2 linked regions of the Saccharomyces cerevisiae S288C genome follow. The protein of the gene in region 2 interacts with the protein of the main gene of each other region in a biochemical or structural test. Each region holds a gene or a part of one and is shown on either strand. Other genes may lie near its edges.

Region 1 (3,406 bases), on a different chromosome or scaffold from region 2:
AGCTTATTCAAAAAAAGCACTCACGATGGGGGTCGAACCCATAATCTTCTGATTAGAAGTCAGACGCGTTGCCATTACGCCACGCGAGCTACTGTTTGTTGGAAGTGTTGAATCTCAAAATCAGAAGCGTCAGTATGACAATACTTCAACCGTTCATAAAACACATATGAAACAACCTTATAACAAAACGAACAACATGAGATAAAACCCGGCCTTCCCTAGCTGAACTACCCAAAAGTATAAATGCCTGAACAATTAGTTTAGATCCGAGATTCCGCGCTTCCACCACTTAGTATGATTCATATTTTATATAATATATAAGATAAGTAACTGAAGAGTGGGTGAATTTTGATGATAATATATTAGTAACGTAAATACTAGTTAGTAGATGATAGTTGATTTTTATTCCAACAATTATCAATCCTTGTATTTCAGCTTCCATTGAAAACGATGACTATTTCTCATCATTTGCCGTCATCTTCTAACACCGTATATGATTATATACTAGTAACGTAAACACTAGTTAGTAGATGATAGTTGATTTTTATTCCAACAGTTACGTAAACCGTTATCAAATAGATACGCTCAAATTCAATTCTGATTAATTTTCATTGGGGCTGATCGTTTCGCTGCAAGTTGTCATAGTATTATTTATTTATTAATACCTTAGATTTTCTTGACAATTAACCAATTTTTAATCATTAAACTTAATAATATTTAATGCTACTGTACTTTCTATTATTATTTATTATTAATTTATTTATTCGTTCATCTTGTATGTAATCGTCCTCCGTTCTTTTCCCTTTACCGCTGGCTTGCGCGCGATGATTTCCACTAAAAGCTTGCTTGGAAATCTCGATCACCGACATACGCCCTGAGAATGCTTATAGGAGCTATCGAGGCGAAAGAAGTGGGGGGAAAGTAATATCCCGAGAACGAAAACGCAAGGCTTATTGTCATGAAAATGCAAATGCACCGTTGACAAAACCAACCACACGATTATCACGACTACTACCATAATAGGTAGGCAATGAACACTTCGTTCAGCAAATGGGTCCAACACGAATCGACTTTTCGAGGCTTCTTCGGCCGTTTTCGGGCCAGTTAGTGCTGATTATATATCATACTCTAGTTTATGTTCGCTTTACGTATGGCAGTGTCTCTAAGCTATTCCGTCTTTTTAAGAAGCGCATCGATATTGGGATGCCGCCTTCGCCAGTAATTTTCCTGAGCTTGTCGTTCGATCTCCGCTGCCTTGAGCAAAAAGTTTCGATAATTCAGTCTGGAACTAGGAGAAGCTGACTCGATGGCATCTTCAGGCTTAGCGGTGACCGGAGAATTGCCAATTGACGTGGCTGTTTGCTTCTTGGGGGTTACTCCCTCAACAAGGCGTAGAAAATAACGGTAGCAATCCTCATCGCTGTAAAAGTAATACGGAGTATGCCATTGCCCATGATTAAACAAATATTGGTTCATGTTGTATGTGATGATCCTCCATTCTTTCCCTTCTACTGCCGGTTTACGTGTGATGACATCCACTAAAAGCTCGGTCCTAAAATTTCGACGACTGACTAGCTTTGGATTACCATCACCTAATATTATTAACAATACTACAAGAGAAAGATAAGCGTAGTATGCAGAATTGAAAACACAAGCTTCGTTGTCATTAAAAAATATAATTAATAAAACCAAAACCCCTATTACCAGGGACAAAATCATGACTGGTGTATAGCGAGCGATTTCATAGATCCAATAACTCAAGTACGAACGGAATATGTCCTTAGGAAGAGCCACATTTTTCTCAATTAAATGTGCACTAGGTTCGTTGAGTGTATCTAACTTGACGTCGGTACTTTCTAGAGGGGTCTGCATGACCAATATATACCTTGTATCGTCTATGACTATAGTATTCCTGATTGTCTCTGTGCCATTGCATACTGATCAAATGTTTTAATAACGCAGGACCCTTTTCACGATTGTTTTTCATCTCTAGAGGCATTTTCAATATTGCATTTTGCGAAGTGATGTATAATGAAAATGTGGTAATAAGGCAGTGAGCTACTTTGTCACAACAAAGTACGAGAACAGATGAGGTTCCGTGGTGTTTTTGGGGCAACTGCATTATTTGGAGCGCCGTATATATTTATATCCTATTACAAAAAATCATAAATGACACTAAATTTGACACCTACTAGTGTCGTCAATCGAGAAGTAGATCCTTTGTCAAGTTGTGTGCTAGTGTCTCCCGTCTTCTGTCTAAAAAAACTCATCGACACCAGGATACTCTTGTCGCCAATATTCCTTTTGAAATTGTTGTTCGATTTCGGCTGCCTTGGTGAGGAGCTTTATAAAGTTCGGTCCGGCACTAAAACTAGAAGACTCAGCGGCTTCGTTTGGTGTGCCAGCGGTTTCGTCATTTGATTGTGCGTCTTTAACATTGCTGGCTGACGATTCCTTTTGCTTCTTGAAAGTTCTTCCCTTAATAAGACTTAGAAAATAACGGTGGCAATCTTCATCACGGTAAAAGTAGTAGGGAGTGTTCCATAAATCGTTATCAAATAAATACTGGTTCATCTTGTATGTAATTGTCCTCCATTCTTTCCCCTTTACCGTAGGTTTCCGTGTGATAATTTCCATCAGTAGCTTACATTTGAAATCTTCATCACTGATCTGTGGTCCAAACCTGAGTATTAGAACTATCACTAAAATGCCAGAGAATATGAGGAGAAACCCTACAGAAACCCCAACGCAATTTTCGTTATCATGAAAAAGAATAATTATTGAGATTAAAACCCCAATTACTAGAGACAAAAGCATGACCGGTGTACAGTGAGCTGCTTCATATATCCAATAACTCAAGTACGAATGGAATATGTCCTTAGGAAGAGCCACATTTTCCTCGATTAAATATGCACCGGGTTCGTCGAGAGAATCCGACTTGGCGTTGGTATTTTCTGAAGGGGTTTGCATGTTGAATTGATATCTTGTCTTGTGTAAGGTTATTATATGGTTTTGGAGGTTGTTATGCTGATTCGAATTACGACTTGATCTTGATACTAATTGAGCTTTGACGAAATATTTTAGCAATTCAGAACCCCTTTCATATTCTTTTTCTTCTTTTCATTTTTAGAGGCGTTATTTCACTAATAGGTACAGCCTCCGAAATAATACGTAATTGAAGATATGATAATAACAGTACGAGCCTTTTACAGGGCCATTATGATCATGAGTGAGATCCAGAAAAGCACATTGCATGGCAGTCGGATGTTGAGAATTGGGGGAATTTTGAGATAATTGTTGGGATTCCATTGTTGATAAAGGCTATAATATTAGGTATACCTAATATACTAGAAGTTCTCCTCGAGGATATAGGAATCCTCAAAATGGAATCTATATTTCTACATAC
Region 2 (7,688 bases):
GATTCCTATATCCTCGAGGAGAACTTCTAGTATATTCTGTATACCTAATATTATAGCCTTTATCAACAATGGAATCCCAACAATTATCTCAACATTCACCCATTTCTCAAACACAGCTTCAGTATTGTCTGAGCTTCTCGTTTAACATTCCTTCTGCAATAGGTGCAATCACACTTAAACGTATACGAGGTGTACATTAATATACGATGTAAGCATTAGATTGTTACCATAGCAACACATGTCACTATTAATTACTCTCGTTCCAACATTATCGGAAGAGGTTTGGTTTATTCCAACAATTAGAATCGCAGTAGTGATTACCCTTTTAAGTAATCGCTGTGTTTCGGTGGTGATATAGTCGCCATCACTTATTACCTCGTCATTACAGTTACACCATCCAACACATGGGCGGTTAGTGTAGTGGTTATCATCCCACCCTTCCAAGGTGGGGACACGGGTTCGATTCTCGTACCGCTCAAATTTTTTGATGGCATTGCTTGCATTTTCAAGTATTATATCGACATTTATTTTGTACTGGGAAGTCATAAAGCCCTAATCCATTCTGTTTATTACATTGTGTTCACTTATTTTACTTAAGTACCAAAGATATGGGGGTAATACATTTTTTTACTGCAGTTCTATATAAGGTCATCTTCCACTTCGCTGTCCTCATTCTTGTCACTTGTGCTTGAAGTGTTCTCATCTCCAGAAATGAAAGCAAGCAACTTTTGCCCATCAAAATAACGTCCGGTCATGATTTTGCAACATTGCAATGCAACTTTATTGTTCTTAAAGACGACCGTCGCTTCCCCCTTATTGGGAGATACAGATATACTGTCTACTTGACCTATCTCTTCACAGCCTTCCAAAAGATCTTCCTGAATATCATTTATATCATCATTTGTGTATGATTTGTAAATATTGAATACGTTGGCAAATATCACCGTTCGATCAGCTTTTGCTAGGCTTTCATCGTCATTGTAATCTATTACTTCCCCCTCCCCTTCAGACTTCGCTTTTTTTAGCCTCTTTATTGGAGGCTCAGGTCCGTTGAACTCCTTTAAATCATTTTCTTTCCCGTGCATATTGTCACCTTCCTTGTTTTGAAATTGGGCTCTTTCGACCCTGATCTGTTTTCCCAGGAAGATCGACTCGTTCATCATTTCGATTGCTAATGTAACACTTTCTTCCTTGGAATAAGTGATCAAGGCATCCCCTTTGAAAGCGCCTTTATCATTCACATATAGCTTGCAAAGGGGTTCCCCATCTCGATTGGTTCTTATCATTCCATACTTGCAAAACTGCTCAGTGAGTCCTTCTTTCGTTGTTTTGTCTGTGGGAAGACCAGAAATATATATTGAAGTATTTTTTGAGGCATTATTATATTCAAGCTCTCTTTTCTGAAGATTACTCTCTTTTAACTGTTTCCTTCTAAGCAATTCTTCTTTTTTCAATTTTTTCAAATGACCTTTCAATTCCAATTCATCAGCATCCATCGCTGTCAAACAGTAATGTTGGTAACGGAATACAGTGAAAAGTGTAGTGCGTTCAAGGGTCTGCAGCCTTTTACAATATGCCTGGTCAGACTAGTGCTTTTTTTTTGTTTTTTTTCTTCTTCTTCTTTCATCAATTGCATAATGTCAACTTTTTTCTGCCCTGTTGTCCTGTTTCTTCCATTTCGTTTTCTCTTGTCAAACTATTATAGTATTTTTCTTTAAAAATTTTGTTTATACAAAGATTACATAATTTATTCTTCGTGTGGTGATGATCCGTCATATTCTATCCGTGATTTTTTTGGTTTATTATTGTTCTTGCTGTTCATTCCCTTATTTGCATGCACGCTTGCTAAAGCTGACGCATTTCTTTTAATACTATTGATAACAAAAGAAGGGATTAACTGAAATAAAATTTCACAGCTTACTGCATTAGACCATTCACCAGATCAGAGCATAATAAGCTGTCTTCACCTTTACCATGAACTTTCAAAGCAAGACCTTTCGAACTCTTGATCATCTTAATCTGTAGGGCTACTTTAGATCCAGTTAAAGCACTCTTACCAAATAATTTCAAGGTGTGGGAGTTTGAATCACTTGGAGCAAATTGGGTACTTTCCACCGGTAAGCAGCTACTGTTCAAAATAATCTTATCTACTACTTCTTGTATGGATAAATCTTCTTGAATGTTGAAAACAGCAACTTCTTCGCATGGCAACTCATCAAATGTAGCGGAGAAGTTACCAGTGAAAGAACTCTTAACATAATCACCAGCATTCAAGAAAATCGAGTCAATTTCATATTCATCTTGGAAACCTTCATCACCATCAAATGGCTCATTAGTGTCAGGGTTTATTTCTTTTGTAGTGAATGTTAAGTTGTTCAAGAAACCTTCCATTACAATTTCATCAAGTTTTTTGAATGCAACGTAACAAGCTGCTTCCTCGGATGGTAATAATCTGTCCACTTGTAGGGTGAATAGCTCTTCTAATTCAGCTTCATCAGAAATTTCAGGGGTACAGACTACAGAAACATTGTCTAGGGCAATATCCGTCAGAGTATTCGTAATATTAAATTGTAAAACAACATTGTCTTTGAAGAGATGTTTGACACCACGTACAACGAATTCTGCTTCTGGCTCAGTTAATGAGATAGCCCTAGAACTATTTACTAATTGACCAAATGGTTTAATTTGTTCAATGGATAGCAATTCGTCAGCGTACTTAGTAGCTAGTAGATCTTCTTGGTGGTCGTCCAAGTTTGGACCAGCAAATGAATTAGCGTCAGCTCTTTTTTCTGGAACACTCTCTGCCTCTGGTGTAGTATCCAAAGTGGTTTCAGACTTTTGATTGAAAATTTGTTCTTGCTTTCTCTTCAGATTTATTGCCTTCATTTCATCCTCAGTAAACTTACGAACTTGATTCACATCAAATGCAGTTGCAAATGAATCAGTATTTGAGGAAATGTAAGAACTTAATTTTGACTCTAATGATGGAATATCGTAAAAATATTTGGATTCGATTAGATTTTGTGCTATAACATCATCTTTATTCCTAGCCGAATCAATGAATTCTAGTGCAATGGTGGCTCTGTCTCTGACTTCATCGTCTTTATCATTAGCGATTCTCTTTAACAAACTTATGATTGACTCATATAAGGTAGGATCGTTCTTCGTCAAAGCAAACTTAGATAAAGCTACAACGGCAGCAGATCTAATAATAGAATTTTCCAACACCACTCTGTTATAAATATGTCTAACATATAATGATGGATTTGGGGCAGATGGACCTTCTTTACCCAAAAGATGTAGTATTCTCACTAGTATTTCGTTGAATTCACAATCCTCGATGAAATCACACAAGTTTTCTAAGGCGAGTTCTTTAGACTGTGGAACAAATGAAACAATATCGATTAATGCTTCGACAATACTGTTTTTAAATTTGAATCCACCTTCACTATTTTTCAAAACATCGATTAAGAAGTTCAAAATTGACTTCCATTCCTGTGGGAAGTTCAAAGACAACGTACGAACGGCGTCAATAATAATGATCTTAAAGTCATCACTGACATCATGGATAAAATTAGTAATAGTCGAAATCAGAGATGAAATATTTTTGGAAGTTCCTGTCTTCAATAAAGTGGTGATTGCATAAGTAGAAATGTTTCTATTAGAATCATTAATTAAAGATTCTAGTTCAGGATTACAAACAACAATCTTTTCTGGTGAAACCATGGATATTCTATTTAAGATTCTCAATGCAGCGAATCTAGAAGAAACACGAGGAACGGTCAGTAAGGACTGTAAAGCACTGATAGCTGCCGCATATAACTCGGGAGCCACTAAGCGGGAATTGCGAGTAGCGAAAGAAGTAATCAATTTCGCCGTTTCCAACTGAACAGATTCGAACTTGTTGGATAGCCAATCAGACAAAAGTGGCCTGAATTGACTAAATAATTGAGGATCCCTATAAATCAAATCGTTGACAATCTTGACCAATTCTACCTTGGCCAATTGATTTTTCATAGAATTGTTTTCAGAGAAATGTCTAACCAATTTTAGTAACGCCATTTTATCAGTTTTCTTCAGTTGATAAAGCAACCCAAGAGCATGATATTGAGAAATATAAGTGGAGTTTGGATAATATTCGCTATTACCGTGTTGATTTGGAAATTGTTTCAAATCCAAAACAGCTTCTTGAGTTTCATTGGTGAATCTTCTGATAGTGACTTCTGAAATGGGCAGCAAATGATAAGAAGTACATAATGCTGCTGAGGATATTGAAGGATGTCTACTTACCACGGCACTTTTTAATAACCTTTCAGCGGAAAAAGCAGTAGATTCATCCAAGACATAAGTCAGCGATCTAATAGCGTCAGGCTTAATCAAATCGGAACCGTTTTGAACGTCCTTCATGATTGAAGAGGTTGCCATCAACACATCCTCCGAAATGCCACTCAATTCCTTGATTGCCAAATAAACAGCCTGCCTTAAAGGATCGTTCTGGTGTTGAAATAATTTGGAGATAGAGAAAAATAATGCAGTTGCTTCATTCTGTGGGAAGGTTTCGCCCTGGGCCAAGAGTCTCAGCAAGCGAGAAATCAATAAACGACATCTCTTGGAATTGACAGGTGATTCGTTAAACGTGTTCATACAATCCTGATAAATGGTCATTTTATCAGGTAAATCGCCCGAGGTCGAGTTTTCAAACTTTTTGTAAGTATGTGCAGACATGTTGATTCGCTCTGTGATTTAGTATCGCTTCTTGGCTTTTGTCCTATCCGTATTTGTTTAGTTATTTTGTATTATACGTCGTTCTGTAATGTTTGCGGGCTCACCTGGATGAAGCTAAGAACAAAAAAACGGGTTTAGCAGAATAACTGAAGAAGTACGTTGGTAATGAGCACACACAATTCCTCCCTTGCACTTATTTGTAAAGAATTGTGTTCTCAACAATGCAACTCGTATCCAAAAAAACGCCTATGTATATTTCATTGATCTTGACGAAACCTTTAGATTTCGAAAAAAATAGAATCGTGGTTCGTGGCGTCGTAGTGAATGACACAAGGGGTACATTCCGGGTGATAGGATGAAAAATGGGTAATAGTAATAGTACAGAAGAACCTTCTGGCACTTAACTTAAACCATTCTGAAATATGAGTGGACTTTATACATTTCATGCATATAAATATAACTATACAAAATTAGGAGAGGTGAGGAAGTGAAACTAAAACAAAAAGGCAAGGTTAAAACAATACAGGAAAATAGAAAGAGAAAAACAGTAATATATCTATGGGGATGCATCATGAGGTTTCTTCGTTTAATGTCAGTAGCAATTGTGCCAGACATCTCTTGGACCCGACGTCGTCTCTTAGTACTTCCGTAAAAGTGTTATCTCTCAGTTTGGCAGGTAAGACTATTTTCAATAGCCTGCGTGCTTCGAGATCGTCGCTTAATCTTAAGTAGCATCTAATGATATGTTTCAGTAGTCGTCCCGGTGGTGTGCTCACGGTCAAGTGCTCAACCATATCTTTTAAGACATTAGTTACGGCGTAGAACCTTTCCAAGGTGGCACAGATGTATTGCAATCCAACGTCATCTAGTAGGATTTTCTGTAAAATGAAAATGGCGACTGTCTTGGAAAGCTCAGAAGAAGATTCCATGATCCTTAGGCATAACGGCACGATATCGGTTCTTAGCAAAAACGTTATTACGTCTTGTGAGTCATTTTTGACCAATGCGCCTATCACACCTAATGAAGTCAATCTCAAGTACTCAAAAGTTCTTTGCCTGGAGGTAGTATTTAGGAAGGGGAAAAGAAAGAGAGGAATATGGGCCTGTAAAAAGAGATGTTTTGTCTCTGGGTGAGATGCAACACACTGTAGAAGAACTAGAGCGTTGCATACACGATTTGATAGATTGTTAGAGAGCATCTGAGGTTGCAGCATGGGATATACGGAAATGATTTCGTTCAGCAATGAGGTCATTACACCAAAGGAAGACCAAAGCACAACGGCAAGGTCATCAAACTGTTCTCTTTTGCGACCTAATTCAAGCAGTGCTTGTTCCTTTTGAGGGCCGTAGGTCAATTGACAAATCCAGTGGTATACATTGGGATCATCTAGAGCATGCACTGCGCCTCTATTATTGACCATGTTGGGATTGTTTCGAGTTGCGTTAGCATCGTTACCGCCGTTATTGCCGTTATTGCCGTTGTTCTCGCCATTTTCATTGCTATTATTATTATTCGGAGTATTGCCCATTAGCATGGGGCCTCCACTTGGAATTTGTTGATTCATGCCTGGACCCATTGAAGTTGGAACCCCAGGCATGGACATAGATCCTGGATTATTAGTTGAAGGACCACCACCACCCATGTTCACGCCTGCTCCATTGCCATATATTGGCTTTTGAGCGGAAAACATATTAACTTATTCAGAGGATGTTCAGTTGCTGTCGTTGTTGCTTCAGGAACAAAGTTTAATCTCGTCAAGATCAGCAGAAACACACACACTCGCAAATTTGTCAAAACTTGGGAGTTTTAAAAGATGAACGGTTTCTAACTTGCGTACTCTACGTCTTTGCAATCCCTTTACAATGTCTTCTATGCGTAAATTACTTTAAATTTGGATTTTGCCTCTTGCTGCTCGCAGCAAAATTCTCAGCATGTTGAGGTGTGTGGGTGGAGTTTTTCCTCTCCTGCTAGTAATACTTATGCAAGAATCTACGTCTAATGAGGTGCTCACGTTTTGCAATGATGATATAAATAGGGACAGTAATCTAATATAGACAAGTGGGCGTAATAGGGTTTTCTTCTCTCTCTTATGCATTCTGTAAGCATCTCGCTTTATGTGAGGAATAGTAGTAAAAGCGTATGATACAGGGAAATAGTAGTACTTTTACAATAGTATTGCTACTTGCATTCCCAAAAACATTCAATAAATGCACTTGGTTTCGAGCGTCTTTTGTTTATTTTTAAGTTTTGTTTGTTTTTTTTATTGTTTTGCTTCGTAGTTTCAATTTTAAACATTAATGTGTGCAAAAACTATAAGACAATGGTATACGCAAGAAAAACTATAAGTAGCATATTTAGTCTACTCCGAGCCATATCGGAAAGAACAATGTCGCGTCTTGCAAAGGCTGTTAATACATAGAATAGGCCACTCCAGGCATGTAAATACATGATTGATTGGATGAGCAACACTGAAATGGACCAGTGGCAACCTAACAGGATTTCTGATCTATTTCACGCCCAGAAAAAAGGCGTACATTCTATAATCTACTTAACAGACCTATACAAGCACTGTCCTACATATTTCAAAAGATTTAATTTACATATCGATTCCGTTCAACGTAAACAGTTTGCTCATAATACAGTCACAGATGTGAGAGAAAAAAAAAAAAGAAAATAAAGGAAAATGGATCAGAAATTTGGGTATACTTAATGCTTCATAGGACACCTGAGTACTTGTGGCATCCATGTTCAGACTGGTGCACAGCTTTTTTCTCGTCATTTACCATTTTTCCTTGAATTCATGTTTAATTTTCATCTTCGTCATGTGTTAAGGTACTATTACGAAACAAAATGTTAACGCCTTTGATAAACTTATCAAAGTTACGAGACCGGTTCGCACTACGATACTTTGCTATTGCTTCATTTTTTCTATCATATGTAAAACATAAACCACTGAGAGAAA

The links.
Region 1: the proteins of SEC21 (region 2) and MST27 form a complex in vitro, tested with the Saccharomyces cerevisiae proteins (one study listed by BioGRID).

Annotation. Positions count from the first base shown.
Region 1 is NC_001139.9:402,153-405,558, reverse strand, and holds MST27 (DUP240 family protein MST27), read right to left. Parts: upstream 1,873-3,406; coding exon 1,168-1,872; downstream 1-1,167. Other genes in the region: pheromone-regulated DUP240 family protein PRM8, read right to left, coding at 2,257-2,970. UniProt on the Saccharomyces cerevisiae protein: Involved in protein trafficking vesicle formation, probably by stabilizing of coatomer at the Golgi membrane and thus allowing the efficient formation of COPI coated vesicles.
Region 2 is NC_001146.8:89,031-96,718, reverse strand, and holds SEC21 (coatomer subunit gamma), read right to left. Parts: upstream 4,726-7,688; coding exon 1,918-4,725; downstream 1-1,917. Other genes in the region: U2 snRNP complex subunit CUS2, read right to left, coding at 639-1,496; CCR4-NOT core subunit CAF40, read right to left, coding at 5,295-6,416. UniProt on the Saccharomyces cerevisiae protein: The coatomer is a cytosolic protein complex that binds to dilysine motifs and reversibly associates with Golgi non-clathrin-coated vesicles, which further mediate biosynthetic protein transport from the ER, via the Golgi up to the trans Golgi network.